Linked DNA regions of Arabidopsis thaliana. The protein of the gene in region 3 purifies or fractionates together with the protein of the main gene of each other region. This does not show direct contact. Each region holds a gene or a part of one and is shown on either strand. Other genes may lie near its edges. The genes, in order: HCF173, SDG25, AT1G12530 and AT1G09200.

What was found.
Region 1: the proteins of AT1G12530 (region 3) and HCF173 purify together in Arabidopsis thaliana (affinity purification with mass spectrometry, with the first as the bait; one study listed by BioGRID). This does not show direct contact.
Region 2: the proteins of AT1G12530 (region 3) and SDG25 purify together in Arabidopsis thaliana (affinity purification with mass spectrometry, with the first as the bait; one study listed by BioGRID). This does not show direct contact.
Region 4: the proteins of AT1G12530 (region 3) and AT1G09200 fractionate together in Arabidopsis thaliana (co-fractionation; one study listed by BioGRID). This does not show direct contact.

The regions. Positions count from the first base shown.
Region 1 is NC_003070.9:5,720,725-5,727,170, reverse strand, and holds HCF173 (high chlorophyll fluorescence phenotype 173), read right to left. Parts: upstream 4,281-6,446; 5' UTR 4,011-4,280; coding exon 3,441-4,010; intron 3,348-3,440; coding exon 3,135-3,347; intron 3,033-3,134; coding exon 2,828-3,032; intron 2,731-2,827; coding exon 2,655-2,730; intron 2,495-2,654; coding exon 2,359-2,494; intron 2,275-2,358; coding exon 2,170-2,274; intron 2,046-2,169; coding exon 1,965-2,045; intron 1,863-1,964; coding exon 1,773-1,862; intron 1,635-1,772; coding exon 1,569-1,634; intron 1,503-1,568; coding exon 1,269-1,502; coding exon of another isoform or gene 1,251-1,268; exon of another isoform or gene 1,224-1,250; intron 1,121-1,223; coding exon 1,073-1,120; intron 995-1,072; coding exon 923-994; downstream 1-922. Other genes in the region: UP6 (uncharacterized protein), read left to right, coding at 1-323, 411-554; HAC12 (histone acetyltransferase of the CBP family 12), read right to left, coding at 5,389-5,503, 5,725-5,942, 6,126-6,446. UniProt on the Arabidopsis thaliana protein: Auxiliary factor required, together with HCF244, for the biogenesis of photosystem II (PSII), especially for the synthesis of the reaction center proteins (e.g.
Region 2 is NC_003076.8:16,957,634-16,963,560, reverse strand, and holds the start of SDG25 (SET domain protein 25), read left to right. Parts: upstream 1-2,315; 5' UTR 2,316-2,499; exon of another isoform or gene 2,500-2,503; intron 2,504-2,858; exon of another isoform or gene 2,859-2,862; 5' UTR 2,863-2,889; coding exon 2,890-3,059; intron 3,060-3,146; coding exon 3,147-3,753; intron 3,754-3,854; coding exon 3,855-3,971; intron 3,972-4,245; coding exon 4,246-4,536; intron 4,537-4,624; coding exon 4,625-4,975; intron 4,976-5,080; coding exon 5,081-5,338; intron 5,339-5,472; coding exon 5,473-5,927. UniProt on the Arabidopsis thaliana protein: Histone methyltransferase involved in regulation of flowering time. Required for the expression of the flowering repressors FLC and MADS-box genes of the MAF family. Required for histone H3 dimethylation on 'Lys-36' H3K36me2 at the FLC locus.
Region 3 is NC_003070.9:4,268,122-4,273,044, forward strand, and holds AT1G12530 (uncharacterized protein), read right to left. Parts: upstream 2,787-4,923; 5' UTR 2,651-2,786; coding exon 2,540-2,650; intron 1,568-2,539; coding exon 1,452-1,567; intron 1,356-1,451; coding exon 1,001-1,355; 3' UTR 865-1,000; downstream 1-864. Other genes in the region: CCS (copper chaperone for SOD1), read right to left, coding at 22-156, 254-326, 408-434, 543-779; AT1G12540 (basic helix-loop-helix (bHLH) DNA-binding superfamily protein), read left to right, coding at 4,839-4,923.
Region 4 is NC_003070.9:2,970,615-2,974,772, forward strand, and holds AT1G09200 (Histone superfamily protein), read right to left. Parts: upstream 1,721-4,158; 5' UTR 1,519-1,720; coding exon 1,108-1,518; 3' UTR 957-1,107; downstream 1-956. Other genes in the region: AT1G09195 (Ppx-GppA phosphatase), read right to left, coding at 1-843; CRT1b (calreticulin 1b), read right to left, coding at 2,603-2,614, 2,712-2,828, 2,913-2,942, 3,104-3,151, 3,245-3,340, 3,426-3,493, 4,001-4,058, 4,141-4,158. UniProt on the Arabidopsis thaliana protein: Core component of nucleosome. Nucleosomes wrap and compact DNA into chromatin, limiting DNA accessibility to the cellular machineries which require DNA as a template.

The DNA.
Region 1 (6,446 bases), 1.5 Mb from region 3:
TCTACTCTCCTGACCACGCGATCAAAATCGCAACGAACCCTGATTCCGTGGATTCCTCATCAGAGGAAGAAGAAGGAGAGAAGCAGAGGAAGACGATCATGTTGGGGCTGAAGAATCTTGCGGCGGTTAAGGATAAAGTGTTAGAAAAACTATCGGCTGCTTCGGTTCCATCTGAGTCGCTTGAAAACGCTAAACAGTTTTTGGAAGGAGCCATTAAGGATTTCGCCGGAGCGGCGCAGGGTATGACGAAAGACGCGTTGCACCGGATTAAAACTCAGCTCGCTGTTATTGTTCCGTCTGTTTCTCCTGCCGTCACCGAAAAGGTTTAGTTTTAAAAACAATTGGTCCACCGGGTAAACTAATTTGGACTCTTTTTTGGCTGACTTGTGAATTTACTTTTGACGGAGCAGATAGTGGACGATGCTGAGAAAGAAGCCATTGACGGAGAGGAAGAAGATGAGAGCAAGTCAAAAGAAAGCTCCGGAAAGTTGCCGTTTGTTTCTCCGACATCTTCGTTTTTCAGCTCTCTCGCCAAACCTTTCTCCAAGCTTTGATGGGTTTGTGTCGTACGCCTTCATGACTATCTGAGATAAATAAGACAAAGTCTGAGATCTTCTGAAGTTTCAATGTTTACTTATAATGAATGAAGATACTTTTTATGTTTATCATTCAAAATATTATGAGTTTTGTGTAATAGAAAACTGGGTTTCACACCCTTTTTATTATGTTGGTGGCCTTGGATTGTTTGTATTAGCACACAAATTTTAAGTTGAATATAAGAAATAAATGGTAATGGACATAAAGAGACCAAAGAGATTCTTGTATGTACAAGTTATACATGTACGTATGTATATATGCATGTAATGCGTATCAGAGCTTGAGATGTGTACAATATACAAAATGGAATCAATGATTCTTCTTCTCATGTGTTCTTCTCAAGTACAGATAAAGCCGGAGTCAGATAGTTGTTCGCCTTGTCTGGCAAATGAGCCACCTGAAAGAGACAAACACTATCAGATGATGTAATGATGTAGATGTGACTCTTATTGCAAGTGATTGTTTACTCTTTTACCAGCTCATAGAGTTCTATTCCTTGCTCAGCAACGTATTCATGGCAAACCTGTAAAAACCAAATGGAAGAAATTTGAGAGATCCATGATGTGATTTCTTCTTTATAGATCAAAGATTGAATCTTTCTTAGTTTTGGTTCTTGAAAAGGGTCAAAGATTGATTCTTTCTCAGTTGTTTCTCTATAAACTGCAACTCACATCAAAGCTTTTGTTTCTGGCGGTTGAATCGTGCAGTGCCTTGACACATATATCAGCCACATCCGCGCAACTAATGCCCTGAAATTGAAAGAAAATAGCGCATTGGGAAGTTATAAGTGGCTCCATCAGAGAACTTTTGCTAGGTGGCTTGAGTTTGTTTTTCGTGATTGAAATAACCTGAGAAATTCTGTTTCCTTGATCAAATATCAGAGCTCGTTGCCCGCCTGGTTCCTCCTATATCAGAAAATATGTATTCAGAGCCATATATATACAATATGGCTGGAGCTCAAAGAACATTACCTTCAAGGGACCAGGACGAATGATTGTGTATCCAAGGCCTGATCTCCTTAAAGAATCTTCACCAGCCTAACAAATTTAGCGGACATCAAGAGAGAAGGAGATAGAGATGTGAAAAGATGGAACCTACTGGCACAAAAGCCCTGACAATCCATAGCCTCGAAAGATTCAAGAGTTATTATGATGTGTAAGACAAAATGGACTTACCCTCTTAGCTTTCAACACTTGCTCCCTTCTGTTGGCTTCTACTCCCGAACCAGTACACGATACCAGAATAAAGTCTGTTTCTTGACCCGCCTGCAGACAAAAATGCAGGAAGCTGATGATGTATCTGTTTTTTTTTTCCGTTCTTTCAGGTGATAATCTTCAGTAAGTAGACATTAAGTTGGGAGTACTTACAGGCAAAGCTTTTATGTACTCAAATACAAGGCTAAAACTTCTCAAATCTTGTTGCGCACCAGCAAGTCCATCAACAGGCCTCTGAAAGAGGAAAAACCCCAAGAGATTGCTAACTCAGACACCAACGAATGAAAGTTTTCGGTTAATGATCACACAGATCAATCCGCAAAACCAACTGCTGAAGCTTTGAAAAGAGTAAGCAAACCTGTCTTTTAGGCTCAAAGCGTATTGTCAATGTGTGAACAAGAAATGGATCTAGCGGTGGATCTTCTGGGTTGACCGGTCGAAAAGCTGAAAATGGCACCCTTACCTGCCCAAGGAACCAAAGTTTTAGCCAAAAAAATAACGGAAAAGGGGTCAGACTAATGAGTAAGACCGATGATGCTTTATATACCCGACAAAACCCTGCTTTGGTACTGATCCTAGCGAAATACTGTTTGCTCTGAGACATATCTGATGATGGACCAGCTTCAAGGATTACAACATAGGATCTTCCATTCCCACCAACAGAAAGAACTAAGCCTTCGTACCTATTGATATAAAAGCATAAGCATATAAAAGAAGCTATAAGGCTAAATGAGTTTCAGGAGGTGTTAGAAATTTCATTTAATACTCCTTTCTCTAAGTTTCTATCATTGAATCATTTCACAGAACAAGCTGAGAGTAAGTTGATACGAAATCGCGCAATACCTGTCAAGAGTGGTACCCAATGGAAGTGAAAGTTTCTTCGACAACTCAACATATCCTCCTCGGGTGAAAACATAACCTGCATTTGAAAACTGATTAAACCACTATACCTCAAAATATACATCAAAGGAAAAAACTTTGGCAATTGCCATATTCTCCGGAAAGATAATGTGTACCTGAAAACTCAGCTCTCTCAGTTTCAGTGAACTCAAACTTAGCATCCATCCCACCATCATATTTGGAAGCGGTTGTGTCCTGAAAGTAAGTTCCTTGACGAATTTCCCAACCATCAAGTGACTCAGCTGACTTGAACTTAGCTAATAGAAGCTTGCTTTTGCTGCTTTTACCCGCCCTTAATTGCGCTAGTCTGTTATTGTAATCCTGCAAATACTCAAAACGACACACATGAATAAACTACTCTCTGCTCAACAAAACAAGAAACCAAATTAACCACGGTTGAGTCATGGACAAATCTTACTATACCTGAAAAGCCTTGGTGAGGTTATAAACACCCAAGTGATCAACCCGCGTAAGGTCTGCAGTAATCGTAGACCGAGCAGTCGCACAGTAGATGATCTTGCTGCAGCTTTCAACAGCGGATTTGAGCGTTGACGGTTCACCCACATCTCCAACAACAATATCCACTGACCTTGGCAACATACTCATCACTTCCTCATCTTGTTTCCTCACCAGTGCCTAAACGGTAACCTCAAATCTCTTAAAACTCTAAAGCATTTGCATAAACACACCAATACTACTTTATATTATAAAAATCAGCATTTTTTGAACCTTGACGGTGTAGCCACGGAGCATGAGTTTACGGACAACGATACGACCGATTCTACTAGTAGCTCCGACGACTAAAACGGTAACGTTTTGAGCGCCGGGAACAGCAAACTCACACATAGGTCCTTCTCTAATGAGTAGACTATCAAGAGTCTCTTGCTCATCGGGTCGGGTTGTCCTCGACATCTGACCTAATCCAGAGAATTTCCGCCACACCTCGTCGAAGATCTGCCGCGATCGTCGTCCTAATCCCACAGGATTCACATCGTCCAACTTCAGTGTAGGCGGAGACGGTGGTGATTGAGGCGAAGGCGGAGCAACGTCGAGCTTCTTCGCAACCGTCTCTTCGCTCTCCTTAGTGGTTATGGTTCCGGGTCGGGTTTTGGTCTTCTTCTTGTCGGAGGGTGGAGATGGAGACGGAGAAGAAGAAGATTGAGCCCTAGGGATTACGATTTGGGAGCGATCATGGAATCTGTGAATTCTGGTGTTGATGCTGAAACTGTTGCCAAAATTCGAGCTTAGAAACCTCGCATCAGTCGCAGCCATGTTACTGCCAACAATACTACCCACCATTTTTGAACTCTGCTACACAAACAGAGCTCAAAGACACAATTTTGAAAATAAATTTTTTGGATAAAATTATACTAAATGCATACAATTGTTTGTTAAATGAATCTTATTTGCATGCTAGACTGTCATTGAGAACACTCTTGGTCGAAATTGGGAATGGATAACGAAAGTGAGATTTTTCAAGTTTTTTTTTGTCGTTAAGAGAAAATAGAGAAGAATAAGAAATGGTTGGATCGGAGGATTTTGACATTTCGGAAAGAAGGAGAGAAGAAGAAGACCACAGAATCTGGTTTATGTGTTTTCGGACAGTGATATGACTTATGAGCCAATTAACTAGCCACGTACACTCTCTCTTTTCCTCTTCTTTTTTTTAAAAAAAAAAATATACTTCTTCACCTTTTTTTTTTTTGGAGAAACAAACAAGAAAATTTCATTCCAAGTTCCAACTATATAATAATTCCATAAAATTTCATATCTGTATATTTCAAGCGTTAAGGAAGCTGCGTTGGCTTCTCCTTCCTGCACGATTCTATTGGTGATGGGAATTGGAAGCAACTGTGACCCTTATTGCAGCAATGGTCACAAAGGCCAATGCAATAACAAGGATTCCAAAGCAAATATTAGATTATGAATTATGACTTGGAGCTAACAGCCTAACAATAGCATTTGCATTACAAAACTACACAAATTTAGAAAAGGTAGCAGTGTCGTGATAACGTTTACCTTATTAATCCAAAACCTAATTCAATGAAACGATACTAAAATGTTAATACAAGTTCGCCCAAAAATGTAAGAGAAGGAAACATCCTTAAAGAGACACACTTCATCTTTCTTACTTATCTAGCAAGTTATCTATTTATATGTATATATATTACATTCCTGCCACATCCCCCAAAGGGATATAAGCTATTTTACAAATTGTACCAGACTACAAAAAAAAGACGGAGAGGTAGAAGACAGTAATCAGTCACAGAGTAATATATGTATAGTCAAAGAATCACCAGCCAGATCAAGCCACTGAACTAATCGAAGAGTCTGGAATCTCATTTCTTCCTTTTCGCGACCTTACACACAGCATAAGTTAGCATCTACGACGATTCTTCTGCTTCAATTGGCACTTAAGCTGAGAAACTCTTCAAGTCACTCAAGTTATTCATCATCATCACTCCACGACTTGCGACTGTTAAATAGGAATCCATCTAAATTAAATCGTTATATGGCTGTTTCATGTCTTCACTAGCTGCTGTTATTCACTTTTTCTTCACCTTCTTCAAGTGGAGATCATAAACACCAGTTTCTTTTATCTTCTTAACCTTCGGAAGAAGATTACATTTCCACTTCTGCTTAGATCCTAAATGAAATTAGTATTTACAAAAATTAATCAACCCGAGGTTCCAGCGACTTCTGCAGCTCTCTGTCTCATCATCTCCATGACGGCAGCTCTCCGCCTAGAATCTGATTGCTGTTGTAACCTTCTCAGATGTTCCTTTAGGTCCCTGAATTGAGAAGATTTACAATGATCAATACAAATCATGCGGACCATTTTTTTCAAAAAAGCTTTGCCATATGTTATGCCCCGGTTCTAATATATCCAAAAATGTCGTTTTTACTTTCAATTTTACGTTTTTACTTGTTGAAAGAAAAGGCAAATACTGAATGATCCCGTTAAGAGATCGATTGCAAAATGTTAGACAGGGACAGAAGTTAAAGAGATTACCCGCATCGAGGTACATCACACTCGGATTCCTTGCAGGCCCGAGCGTGGAGTTGCAACAGATACCACATTTTCTTGCATAGAACACAACCTCCTGAAGCACGTACTTTGCAGCGGAGACCATGTCGGAATAGCCCCTTCACTTTGCGGCAGTTGGGATATAGACAAACTGGAGAACGGCATTGCGACGCATGCACCAGAAGATCGAGCATTTTCCTGAGCTGCATATTTTAGATAAATGAAAACTTTAGCACTTCAGATACATTGTGGGAGCTATATGACCTAACAAAGCCCAATTGTTTTCTCAAATCAGAAGAAGCCTAAAGCAAGAGAAGAAGAGGCAGTTTTTTCAAGAGGATCTACCATGCACAACAACAACAACAAAAAACTGAATATTACAGTACCTGCAAGACTCGCAATTGCCTAGCTTCTTTATTCTGAGCGTTTTGATCAGCTAGAGATGGATGAGTTGTTAACTTATGAGGATGATTAATACAACCCTCTTTCTTGTAACAAGCATTGCACACATCATAGTCTGGGCAAACTTCACAGCGCCAGCCTAGACCACTTTCAATATCGAGGTGACATACGTTACATGTTGTCACAAAGGCAGGAGCAGTAGGATTATGCAGATGATAAAGCACCATCATGGAAGAATGTTTTGCCCGCCTCAGTGTATCATACTGATAATGGTTCCCTTGACATAGACTCAGGAATGCTTGCCT
Region 2 (5,927 bases), on a different chromosome or scaffold from region 3:
AATCTAAAAACCCAACGATATAATGCTGAAATTATCATTTGGATAGATTTGGGACTCTAAACATTTGTAAATATTTTTGATAGCATTAATATAAAATCTGTATCAAAATTTAAGAGTTAAAAAAAAAAAAGACACGAAGTTGGATTCAAAGTCGAAGATTCGTCCCCATTTCTTAACGAAAAATAATGGGAGCTTAAGTGTTTGAAGATGTTTGATAGTGATACGGAAATCAACGTGGAATTGCGTCCTACGAGGACAATTCTTTTGTGAAGCTGAAGAATATTTTAATTACTAGGAAAATAATTGGGATGTTTCGGTGATGTTTTCCTCACCAGATTTGATGTTTGTCGGCGGTGAAAGTTGATATCGGTATATTTTGATGACTCTTCATCTTGTGTTGCAGTTGTAATATCATGTAGACAGTTGTATTGGATAAAGTCAAAATGTCAAAACATCTCTATGCCTAACTTTTATTTCTCCACAAATCGGTGTAGATTTTAAAGTCTTGTTTCTCTTTTAGTGGGTTAGCCAAGCAAAATTTTTTTTTATTTTTGGTGGGTTACTTCATAATACACTTATCAACTCTAGCTAGGTCGATGAGGCTTTCTGTGTGGTAGCTCGGCATCGGCGATCAGATAATTAGAGTTGATAGAGACATTATCGGAGGCTGTGGCACAAGAGCAAACAAGGGCAACTGGCTGCAATACCATTTAAAGAGAGTGACGGGATCCAGGATGGAGAAGGCTAGATGGATCAGGGTTAACCCTTTCGCTGCCATCTTCGTCACCGGTTCGAGCCATGCTGAAATCTGGTGAGGTTGTTGGTCGACTAGGATCACGAAACAACTAGATTCATAGATCTGGACGCATGTGTGAGATTAAGCTCAAGTTCACGCATTTTTACAAATTTGACTTTGAGGAATCTTGGCATGGTGGATCAAGTTTCATCGAAAACAACTATCAGTCTAGAGGACCCGCGCGAATATAAGATTCTGGAAAGTTTGATAAAAGGATATCCAACCACTATAAACCAAAGCAAAGGAAGAACGTCGTGGTGGTCGGGAAGGTGACAAAAAAGAACAAAAAGTTTGCGAAAAGTGGAATAGAGACAAGAGACTAAAAGATGGATAGATACATCTTTACGCCGGCGAGCAAAGACTCCACCAGTATTGAAAAACTGGTTCATGCGGCTGTCCTCGATTATTGAACCTGCGTGAGAGAGTTTTTTTTAGCTCAATACAAAAGTAGATGGTTAATATTTTATTCGACCACTAAATTATTAAGCTGAAAAATAACTCGAGTGAAAAATATGACACATATCAATTACTTTTATAATGTATTGATAAGAAAGATTAAAATATGAAAATCAAATATACTCAATTGCTATAAATCTTTTACCAACTAACAAAGGTTGAAGAATGAAAACTAAAATCTAATTTGACATAGTTAAAAGATATAAAAACGATAATATGAATATTAGATTATTTAAATACCTTATAAAAATAAAATTTTATAAATGATTGGATCGAGTCTCCCCGTAGTGATTACTATCCAAAAGTATCTATAAACTTTATAAACTTTTCATATTCAATTAGGGACATTTTTGAAAATAGACAACTCAATGGAGCATTTTTGAATAATGGGACATCAAAAGAGGCATTTCAATAATTTCAAAAAATATTACTTCTAATTTAAAATATTAAAAATGATCTCACATGTTCCTTGTTAAAAAGAAATTCAAATACACAATATTAAATTTATTTTAGTTTTCATATATTTTATTAGAAAAATAAAATTAAAATGAATAATAGGAAATTTTAGATTAAATCATGACACATGCATGTTGCAATGTAAAATTAGAAACACTATGATATATGAATCTTATATAGAATCTAAAAAAATATGAAAATAAAAATAAAAATTATTAGAATTAATTAAAATAAAATAGAAAATTATAAACACGATTATATATGAATCTACGATAATGCAAAAATAAAAAATGGAAAAATGAAAAAAGTAAGAAATTTAAAATATACAATAATATATTAAGTTAAATATTTACAAAAGGAAGAAGTATATATTGATGCCATATAATTCTAATTGTAAAAAAATCAAATAAACAACATGCAAACTTAATTGAAATCTTCACATATTCTTAACTGACCAAAAATTATAGAAGTATATCATATAAAATTTTAAATTCAATCATGATATATGACAAAATTAAATCATGATACGTACCACTATACTATTAATTAGTAACTTTTTGAATAATAAAAAAATAAGTAAGTAATTGCTAAAAACATTGTAGATCATCCCACAGCTTTTTTCAACGAACCCTAATTGTTATTCTTTTCTTATTTCCTTTTTCAATTTGTTGATAAGAGAAACTTCTTCGTCTTCTATGTCTTCTTCTTCTATGTCTTCTTATCAATTTCAGTTCAATTTGATCACAGTGTCATCGCTTCCTTGAGCTTGCTTCACTTCCCTGAAAATTTTGGTAGGTGTGTTCTTTTTTCCTACCGTACTGTTTCTCCCGAGGTCTGATGTTTTTCCTTTGTGTGTGTTCACGTATCTGGTTCTCTGTTCGATTCAATGTTACAGCTTCTGGGTATCATGCATATTGTCTTCTTTAAGAAATTAGGTTTAAGAAAGACTCGATTTTTTTGCTCTGTAGACAAACTTGGCGATCGTCTTTGCTCCCAGATTTCATAAATGTGTAGTCTTTCTTAGTGTTTCTCTCTGTAATGATTTGGGTACTGTCTCAAATTTAATGACATTGCTTTAAACCCAGTCTAAAAATTGAATATTTGAGAAAGCTTGTATTTTTATTGAAGTTTAATGATCATGTTTTTTCGTGTAGAGAAGATATCTCGAGTTTATCTGTGTCATGGTTGCGGTTGATTCCACTTTTCCTAGCCATGGTAGCTCTTATTCTAGTAGAAGGAAGAAAGTTTCTGCTTTGGAACCGAATTATTTCGGTTCAATGTGTATGGGAGTTTACAGTGATGATGTTTCAATCTCTGCAAGAGAAGTAGCTCAAGATTACTCTTGTGACAGGTGCAACTTGTAGTTAAGTTTTTCGTAGTTGTGAATTAACTAGTTGGATTGTCAATCTAAAAGAAAAACTGTATTTTTGCTTTTCAGCTGTGGTGATTTGGCTACTGTATCTTCCGCTTGTTGCAATTTTGATGAACTGTGTGGTTTGGATTCAGCCTTGGAGATGGGATGTCGTTCAAATGAAGACTGTCGTGCGGGTCAAGAGGCTTCTGGTAGTGGCATAGCTTCAGGTCTAGACAAGAGTGTTCCAGGGTATACCATGTATGCAAGTGGTTGGATGTATGGTAATCAGCAAGGTCAGATGTGTGGCCCTTACACGCAACAGCAGCTATATGATGGGCTATCAACTAACTTCTTACCGGAGGATCTTCTTGTATATCCAATTATCAATGGTTATACTGCAAATTCTGTACCACTTAAGTACTTCAAGCAGTTTCCAGATCATGTCGCTACTGGCTTTGCATATCTACAAAATGGAATAATAAGTGTAGCCCCATCTGTTACTTCATTTCCCCCTTCTAGTAGTAATGCTACAGTCCATCAAGATGAGATTCAAACAGAGCATGCAACTTCTGCTACTCATTTGATCTCCCATCAGACGATGCCTCCACAGACAAGTTCTAATGGTTCTGTTTTAGATCAGCTAACACTAAACCACGAGGAATCAAATATGTTAGCTTCATTCCTCTCATTGGTAACTTCCTTTCAACGGTGAAAACTCAGTTCACAAGTTCATCAGACATGATGGCTCGAGTTCACATAAGAATTTTCTTTAATGTTTGGGTTTTCTGTTAGGGAAACGAACATGCTTGCTGGTTTCTCGTTGATGGTGAAGGTAGAAATCATGGTCCACATTCTATATTGGAGCTTTTTAGTTGGCAGCAGCATGGATATGTTTCAGATGCAGCCCTGGTAAGCTTTTATGAATATAGACTTTTTAAAGATTTTCTGAAAGATTGTGATTAGTTAAATTTCATGCAATTTATAATGATTTTGATCCTGTTGCCTCTTTGTAGCCTTGTGCCTAGCTTTGTTTCTTCATGCATCTTCTTTTCAGTTTTGAGGTTTTTAGTTACTATTTTAGAATACTTGGTTAGAATATATGTTTTCTCCCCTTCTTCTAATGTTTGTGATAGATCAGGCCATCTGGTGTTTATCATTTTGCTTAAGAGTTTTTGTTTTGTAGATACGTGATGGTGAAAATAAGCTTAGACCAATCACATTAGCATCGTTAATTGGTGTATGGAGGGTGAAATGTGGTGATGCTAATTGTGACGAGCCAGTGACTGGCGTGAACTTCATATCCGAAGTTTCGGAAGAACTCTCTGTTCATCTTCAGAGTGGAATAATGAAAATAGCTAGAAGAGCTCTACTCGATGAAATCATCAGCAGTGTGATTTCAGACTTTCTGAAGGCCAAGAAAAGTGATGAGCATCTCAAGTCTTATCCACCCACTTCTGCTGTTGAATCCATATCGGTAGCTCTTTTTATTATACATTGAACTATCAAACTTCAGGGGCTATCATTGAATCATACACTAATATGGTAACTTTTGGTTTGCGCAGTCTCGGGTTATTAATGCGGAGAAAAGTGTTGTCTCAAACACTGAATCTGCAGGCTGTAAGAATACAATGAATGAGGGGGGTCATAGTAGTATAGCTGCAGAGTCGTCCAAATATACTAAATCTGTTGGAAGCATTGAGAACTTTCAGACATCTTGCTCAGCTGTGTGTAGAACGCTTCACCACCATTGCATGCAAATCATGTGGAATGCAGTCTTTTATGATACTGTGGCAACTCATTCATCATGTTGGAGAAAGAACAAAATTTGGTTTCGGTCTTCTGATATCTCGACTGTTAATTACTGCAAAGGTTCCCATACAAAGTATTCAGACAAACCTGAATCATTTGAGAGTGTGAGCTTATAAAAAGTTTCTATGACTTTAATAGATTAAGTGTCATTTTTTTCTAATTAGCTTTGCTCATCAATGAAATGAATTGTCATTTTTAATGTTTTGCAGTTTACTTGTAGGGTGGATTCCTCTTCCTCTAAAACTGCTTACTCTGATGAATTCGACTTAGCTACCAATGGAGCCAGAGTTCGTGGATTGTCATCAGATACTTATGGAACGGAAAGTGTCATAGCAAGCATCTCAGAACATGTTGAAAATGAACTCTTTCTGTCTCTTAAAACTCACCTAACTGATTATACTAGTATTCTCATTAAAGATGGAGCGAATAATACTACTAGTAGTGCACGAGATGGCAAAATGCATGAGGTAAGGAGACAAAATCTCCTTGTTTGGCAATTTTTAGAAGTTTTCTAAGGGAAAAGCTATCCTTTCTCGTTCTGCCATCTTTGCCATATGCTAGCAAGTGGGGGCTGAATTCAAATTGTTTCAAATTGCTGCAGGAAAACCCGCCATCTCTTCAGGGTTCCTTCCGTGAGCAGTATAATTTGGAAGGGTCTAGTAAAAAGAAGAATGGCTTAAATGTGGTTCCTGCTAAGTTGCGGTTTTCCAATGATTTCAGTGATTCTCAGAGACTGTTGCAAGAGGGAGAATCCTCCGAGCAAATCACATCTGAAGATATTATTGCTAATATTTTTAGTACAGCATTGGAGACATCAGATATTCCTGTTAATGATGAACTTGATGCTCTGGCCATTCATGAGCCACCACCACCTGGATGTGAAAGCAATATTAATATGCCATGTCTGCGCTATAAGTATCAGCCTGTTAGGTCCAAGGAATCCATTCCAGAGATTAAAGCATATGTTTCAATGGCATTATGTAGACAGAAGTTGCACAATGATGTTATGAGAGATTGGAAATCACTGTTCTTAAAGTGTTATCTCAACGAATTCCT
Region 3 (4,923 bases):
ACCCGAGAAGAGATATCTAACCTTGAGGAACACCTTGTCCAATTAAGCGAGCTTTTCGACCAGTTTGCTCCAAAGCTTGAGTCATAGCCTTAACAGGGGAAGATCCAAGTATCCTCACAACTTGATTGGACAAATCCACCTCCACTTTCTCAATACCTTACAAGATTAAAAATTTCCATTACACATAATAAGCACCAACAAAGTAAATCATAACCAAACAGACGACGATTAATAAAGTTGTTTCTCCTACTACCTTCAATGGTTTCTAATTTGTTCTTCACAGCATTAACACAACCCTCACATGTCATATCCACCATAAACTCAGTCTGGAACACACAACACAAGTTCTCACTAGCTCAAATCCAAAAATTGTTGTATAAAGATACAGGATTACGAGAAAGACTTACAAGAAGCTGAGGCATGGCTCGATCCTCCTGCAAATCAAATTCAGCTACTTAAATACTTAATCATCGAATCAGGAAAGCGAAAAAGCTCAAATTGGAAATAGGGTATTTCAAAAGTTCAAAGCTTTAAACCAAAACCTGATGGAGATTACGATCAGAAGTGAGAGCAGTCGCCATCGGAGAGCTAACGAAGCTTCGTGAAAGTCCCAAGAGACGTGGAGACGATCGGGAGAGGAAGGAGAAATTGAGAGATTGAGATTTGGGGTTGGTAGAGGAAGAAGAAGAAGAAGAAGAGAAGGCGATCGCGATGGGAATCGCAGAGGCGGCGGCTACGACGGCTGAAGTCGTTGCCACTGACCTGAGAATTGATGCCATTATCTTGCTTCTTCAGTTTTTGCGGCTTTTTATTTCTGACCTTTCAACAACCTTTAAATTTTATCATTTTTAATTAAAAAATAAATCGGTTAATCTGGGGATCACTATTACTTTGGTAAATTAATGTGCAGTAATTCTGTTGTTATTACAAACAGTTGGTGTTATTACCTTAAACGCAATAATATTTCAGAGGGAGTTTATTGATGATACAAAAAACAGTTTTAGCCAAAGCCAGGAGGGAGTTCAGGATCTTCTTCATCATCATTATATGCTTCTCCTTTGTTATCTTGTACATCATCACTACATGCCTCTCCTTTGTTATCTTCTACAGCTCCTTTAATCAGCTCTTGCTTCTGTTTACTCGCTGGACTGGTGTTGAAATCAGTTCTTGCTTCTTTTTTTGGTGTTGGAATCTTATGTTCCATTTCTCTAGCGGATGTTCCGCGTTTCTCGCCTCTCGGGTTAGATAATGTGGCGTAGACGGATTGAACGGTTTCTCTGATTTCATTCTTCATCCCGTCTTCTGATCTTATTATCCCCCATAAACCATCTGAGAGCTGGCTTAGCATCTTGCTCCTACAGGAAACAATCCAAAAAATTTAGTACGCTTGTGTCATAATCATTTACAACAACAGGAGTTAGCTGAATAGAAGAAAATCCCTCTTAATTTACCCGACTTCTTCGAATATCGCATCAGAGAGTTGCCTGGTTTTCATATTTTGAGCACCATGTCGTTTCAAAGATGTTGACTCCTTGACAACTGATATCATATTATTCCGTAAATCCTCCTGCAATCCAGTAACCGCTTTAATAGTCAGATCACAATGCAAACACAGGCAGTCCAGAAGAACAAAGCTCAAGATGTTTATCAAACACTGTTAAAAGAAAATTCCTTGTTGCCTTACATAAACTTCTCCGGCTAAGAAAGTAGTAACCTTCACTCTTATCTAAATATTCTACCAAGTTGCGCTAATGACAATGCCCATTCGATGGATAAGTATAAAGACTCCTCAAAGACAATGAACACTATACCAGCTATAAGTAAGATGTCAAACCAATTCACAGTAAGTGATACTGAAATTCTGAATCAGCTATAGTAGGCCTATAGCTGTGATCTAACAGCTTAACACCATTAAGAGAACTCTCTCCCCTAGGATCTGATTCATCTAAGAAAAACTAAAGGCATCTTGATAAACTCTCCGAATCATCAATGGTTTACTTACTTCCACGCCTCTAAAGCAACTTCAGATACACTTATCCCAAAATCAAAATCAAATGACCAAACTTTCCCTATCTTAAACAACTGGTATTGTTAGGAATCCCATATTAACACAAACCTTCCCTGAGACCAAGCTCAAACTTATCTTTGCACACAACTAACCATATCACTTGTTTCAACACTACAACAGTACACACGAAACGAAAAGATCAAATTTTTTGGAGTGAGTTCCGAGAAGCTACTGATGAAAGTACCTAAAACCATTTATGGAGGACTATTGGGCTCAGTCTATATGAACCAAAAGAGCAAACTTTATACAAATTCTCAATCGAAATCTCTATTACTCAAGTCAAACTAACAAAAGATTCCAATTTGATGATCTTTTGAAACAATCAAAATCGACTAATCATTATCACTGGTCCTAACAAAGCCACGAATGTACTGGGAATCGAGAGAATATGAACCCTAATTAGAGGAGCAAGGAAAGAAAAACACACGATGTGCAATGCGAAGACGACGGAGAAAGAGAAAGAGGGCTTACGTTTTCTTTGAGGCGGCGAATGATTTTGAGACGGAGACGATCAAAATCTCCGTCGTCCTTAAGCTTCTCTACAACTTCCTCTTTGCTTATCTTCCTCGCCATACCCATCATCTCTCACTCTTCCTTCCTTCCTCTGGATTTTCTATTTCTTTCCTTTTATTTTTTTCAAAAAGTCGTATTTAATAAAATCAATAATTTTGTTTGCATCTATTTAAATTGTCAGGGCTTCATGATGCATCATGGATCTACAAATCACAAATTAAACCATAATTGAATAGTTAATTAGCTATTTTATAGTTTTAACAATATTCCTTATCTATTTTTCTTTTGTAATTAGTAAATTTAACTTTTAAACTCTTGTGTTTGAACCGATCCACTTGTAAAATTATAGTTTGTTCGTCTTCATTCACGTTTATATTTTACGAGTGACCTTTGCTGAATGTTGATGTATATATGTTCATTTAACATAATTGCCAACATGGTCACCACCATGTTCATGCACAAAGCACTTCATAATCATAATCATGACACACGACACGATTATGTTGTTATATGGAACAAGTTCAAATGGACCATAAGATGAAAGTCAGACCTAATCCTGACCCCAATATCTATTCCCTTTAATTCATTAAAATCCACCAATTATTGCAAAATTTGGTATCTTTCAAGTGTCCACATCATCCTTCGAAATTAATTAGACTCTAATTTGCCCCCTATATGAAGAATTTGGAATATTGAAATCGTTCTTAATCGAGGATATATAAATAAATAAATCCTTTAAGATACAAAAGTAACCGATTGTATTTTTTAGGACTCTCATGTACTCCAACATTTCATGATCTTCATGTAATTAACGTAATCGACCATTATCTTTTTGGTAGGTCTTATTGTTCAAGACTTCAGACATTTATATAAATTAGATAACGTTGAACTTGTAAGACACAACAAAAGCAAAATAGAAAAACATAGTTCGAAATTTGAGATGAGTTTGTATAGGAAGATCGAAAAACATGGTTCTAAAGAGAGAAAATAACTGAGAGTTCACTTCCAAGGACATTTAAATGAGAAGAAGTGATTGTTTTTTATTCGTGACTACACATATCTATATGACTATACGCTTAATTTTTAACCGATTATGACCAAATCCAATCTCTTAAAACAAGAGTACCACAAAATAAAGTAAATTAAATGTTCTGGTATGACCGTATAAAGTTTCTGTGATTTATAATTAACCAACAACGATCAGTTTTGCTACGTGCTCATAAGTATTTAGTATACTGGGTCTTTGTCCCGAAAAAGTATAATCGATAATTCGATATGTAATGTTACGAATCGTTTACTTAGATGCCATGCAATCATGTCTAGAGAAAAAAAAATCATTTTCTTAGTGCTATTTTAATATAAATAATTATTTAACTTTTGCTTGAAATTGACATAAATCTTAATATACCAACTTTTTCGTCGACCAAAATAATATAAAATATAGGTCTATCATTATATGTTTTTATCCTAGGCTAGGCGGCCTGAAGAATTAAATAATGTATTTCGGCATCTATGGTAAACTATATAAATGACAACACTTTCTCTTTATAATACAAATTGGTAACCTGAAAATTACTATGAACTAAATCGATTAATCGACAAGAAGTACTTTTTTATATATTGGATGATTTTCATTTGTTTTAGATTTTCTATACAGTTACTAATAGTAGAAAGTGTTTTGTATATGAAAATTAAATGATGTATGTATTGTTAAGAACTAGTCATTGTTTTTTGATATGTGTGAATTTTTTAAAAAATCAGTATTTACATAACATAGGAGTTAAGAAACTAACTGAAACTATTTTGGCTCAATAAACTGAAAGTTAAAATCATTTCAAGAACCTAGTGTCGGATGAAACAAAATATATGAATAAAGCACATTTTAAATGTAAGTTGCATGTTTTGCGTAACAATATATATTCCCTAATAAATAGCCACTAAATGTACAGCTCAAGTTAAATCGTTTAAAATGCACACCTTCGAAATAAATCTAATCGTTTAGTATTAGTATCACTCACTCAATCGTATCTTTCGAATAGTTTAACGTTGTTTTCTTTGAGGTCACTAAAAAGCTTGTCTTTTCAAAGAATAAGTTGAAAAAAATGGTCATAAGAAACAAAATCTTGGATGGTATAAAATGACTAACAGCATTGCTGTCGAAATTCTGCATCAAAAAACAAGAGAATTCATATAGTACCCAAAAATTCTCTTATTACCAAAACACTCCCATAACCACCAACAAGAAAATAAAAAGGGCATGAATTTTCCAGATTCTTCATTGTTCACACCAAATTTTGCTTATGAAAATGATTTAGATTTCTCTAGTTTGATCACTCCTTCAA
Region 4 (4,158 bases), 1.3 Mb from region 3:
CTTGAAAAATCCCTCCCTTCGAATCAGCTCTTCGTCTCCTTCACTGCATAGCTTTGCTACAACGCTGCTCAGCTCTCTTGTACCAAATCTCCAGTCCCTCTTATACCCTTCCAAATTGAAATCACACAAATCAGCTCCATAGCCACTGAAAACTGCATTCTCAATAGCTCGTATAGTTCCAGAAGATCCCACAACAACCTCAAAACCATCTGATTCATTCAATTTTTCTGCTAACCTAGACTCATCAATCGCATGACGAATATAGTCTCTCATTTCCTTCAATCCAATACCATTTTTCATAAACATCTGCGTCAAATTCACGTGACCTAGCTTTAAAGAAACAGCAAGCTTGACATCACCACACTTACCAACCACAAATTCAGTAGAACCACCTCCAATATCAACACACAACACTGATTTCTCAAACACAGGTAAAAACTGAAGCACGCCTAAATAAACTAACCTGGCTTCCTCTTCACCAGAAAGCACATCGACCTTAAGCCCAACATCCTCAAAAACCGCATCCACGAACTCTTCCTGATTCTCGGCTCGCCGTAAGGCTTCCGTTGCAACGCATCGGATCCTATCACCAGAGACGTGGTGCGAGAGAATTAAACTTTTGAATTTCCGTAGAGATTGAAGCGCGCGAGCCTGAGATTGAGACGAAATTGAGGTTGGAGATTCACGAGACAACACCACTGGCTCTTTGAGTCTCTCGATTGGAACGAAAGATCTACCGGAAGGCTCAGCTTGGACTATTAGAAGCTTGAAAGAATTTGTTCCCAAATCAATGGAGGTGAAGACCTCCGATGATATAGGATTCGATAGCAGATTGGAGTTCATCTTCGATCGAATCACAACTAATTAACAATGATCTTCACAACAATTTCAGCGTCAAAGCTGATTAATTTGTGAGACTATAATGAGTTGTGAACTAGCACAAATTAACCAAACAATTAGTGATTAATAAAGTCAACTAAAAAGTCAATACTTTGATAGAACAAAAGATAATTGCTTGGAATTAATATTATAACCCTTGGATTTAACTTGAAATTTTACAATCTTATGGTTCTAATCAAAACACAAGAGTAACCAGAATACTTAGATCTAAGCTCGTTCTCCTCTGATTCTTCTCGCGAGCTGGATGTCCTTGGGCATGATCGTGACCCTCTTGGCGTGAATGGCGCAGAGATTGGTGTCTTCGAAGAGTCCGACGAGGTAAGCTTCAGCAGCTTCCTGAAGAGCGGCGACGGCACTGCTCTGGAAACGAAGATCGGTTTTGAAGTCCTGAGCGATCTCTCTGACAAGCCTCTGGAAAGGGAGTTTACGGATAAGAAGCTCAGTGCTCTTCTGGTACTTCCTGATTTCTCTTAAAGCAACAGTTCCGGGTCTGAATCTGTGTGGCTTCTTCACTCCTCCGGTGGCCGGAGCAGATTTCCTCGCCGCTTTTGTCGCCAGCTGCTTCCTTGGAGCCTTTCCTCCGGTTGATTTCCTAGCCGTCTGCTTGGTACGAGCCATGAAGTAAAATGTTATTAAGAAACTGTTTGATTTTAATTTGAAGATGAGAGAAAGTTGAGATCTGGATAGTTTGTTTCGATTGAGGAAGGGGATATTTATCGTCTGGAAATTACAAGAAGTGGGAGGGAAAATATTTCGCTTTTCTTTTTCAGCGGGATTAGATCTGGATCGTTCATTGGTTTTTAATCAACGGATATAAGAGGTTTCTATCACGATCCGCGTGAAATCACAGCAACCGTAGATTAATACAATTCTACGGACAGATTTCATTCTTTTCTAACACTGATCCGCGTGAAGGTACGAAGACCAATAGAAATAAAAGAAATAATCTAAATATATTATCTTTACCAAAAAACCAAGCCCATTACTTAATAGGGCCTGCGTAATTGTTTTTCTTTTTTTGGTTCTCAATCAGCTTTTTCTGGGCTTAAATACCATCTCAATATGCTAGGACGCTGTTTTGTATAAAGATTGTGACTTCATCTTTTGAGAATGACATCATGAATTAAAATATTGCTGTCTAAGGTTAAGGTAAAACAAAGATTGCACTGCATTCGTTCTCTAGCGTTCTAAGCATCTGTGGTTGGGGTACAATTATCTCTATATAATTTTTGTTATCTCAACATCTGTCTTCACAATGGAAGTGAACCCAGTATAAGTGTATAGACAATGTGGAAATTGTTTGGAAAGTGAAAGACATTCTACATTACTACTACTCTAGTATCAATCAACTTGCAGGGACGTTGGACTGTTGGATTATGGACTTGGTGGTCTGTATTGACTGACAAGAGACTAACAACAAATTCTCAAAGGGTGGGGAGCAGTGAACGAATACACCAGAATCCGATTTTGGCGGACATTGGCTTAGCAGAGAAACAAGAGTAGAGAAAGAGAAGCAACTGCAAAACTTCTTCATGGTTTTTTAAAGTCTAAAATGAGCATCTGACAGACATTGTATCCCCCTTTTAGTTTTGCTAAAACTTGTTTCTATCTCCGACAAACTAGATGCTAAAATACTTCAAAAGAAAACGATAAAACAATAAAGAGACTGAAAACTTTGGTCTTCAAATCTTCAACCTTTCACCTATAGCTCATCCTGCAAAACCAAATCACGCAGTTTTAACCACAACTCAAGGAAAACAACAAAATTATGGATGAGTGAAATTTCTCCAAGTGATATTGTGGTAGCATACATGAGCGGTGGCGTCTTTCTCAGAGGTTTCCTCGCTATCTACTGATTTGGTCTCCTCGGCCTTAGATTCAGAATCGGAATCATCTCCTCCTTCATCATCCTCTGGTTCGTCTTCAGCCTGGAATTTATATCACATATAATATTAGGACCTTGACAGAAACAAACAAGACTCTAAAAAATTTGATCCTTCACAAGTGCTTACATCAGATTCCGCAGGTGCGTCCTTGGATTCCTGTATCAACACAGAAAAAGGAGAATGCCGTCTTAGATTATCTATTCCCAACTTGGTTACAACAATTACATAATTGGCAGTAGAAACTCCACAAAAGTCCAAACTACTTGTTTTAGAGAGATTCAAATGAATTAAGCTAAATAATTAGGAGAGATATTTACCTCTTCCTCATTCTTCTTCTCAGCCTCATCGAAAGCTGCTTTCTCCGCCTGCAATGTGATATTAGATTGGATATTCTGATCAGTAACCAGAAACAAAAAAAAAAAAACTGTGTTATGAAATTGGGTATTTTAAACACCTACATCCTTGAGCTTTCCCCATGTTTCATCTGCCAACTTCTTGGCATAGTCTGGGTCATCGCAGATCAAGACATTGTCGAACAATGATCCTGATTTCACCTGGAAGAGTAACATGTATTAGATGAGAGTCATGGGAATAAAGCATATCTTCGAAGGTCATTCAAAGTGACAAAGATTTATTTACCTGCCACAATTCGAGTCCAACATATTTCAGCTTGGGGAAGACGTAGAGCTCTGGGTCATCCTTGAAGTCTGCGGTAATCAGTTTATTTTAGGCACACTAATTGTTTATTATTATGTCTAAGAGAGCTAAATTTTCATGTAAGTTAATGCAAGCATAAAAAACAAAAAGTTGCGAGTTCTACAGTTACATCCAAATGAACATGATATAAAAGTGTAAATAAAGGTGAACAAAAGATATAGATTACTAAATGTGTCAAACTGGTGTGACCATGGATTTAATGATAGAGAAGATAAAAGAAAAACCAGGTTAGTTACAAACATGTTTCTATTTAATAGGTTAAACCACTAAACATAGAGACGCCAATAAACCTTTTGGAAGTAAAGGATTACTTCAGCATTTGAGTTTAAATGAACCCTTAGGCCTTAGACTTAGATAGTCCTTCTACTTAGTCAAGAGAAATCTAACTGGAGAAGATTTAGGCATACCAGAAACGACCATCAAACAACAAAGAACAGAAGTTGAACCACAAATTACATGCAACATGGATAATATGGCCACAGAGAGTAGTAATGTACCAGGGTTGTCAATCAATGGAGCCTCCCACTTGCCCTTGTAGTTGGGGTTCTTGATTTGCTACAAAAATATTTGACAGCCTTGAGAGGAAGAAAAACGTTGACCAGGATATAGATACTTTTTGGAATAGAAATTGACAAACCTTAGGCTTCCATTCACC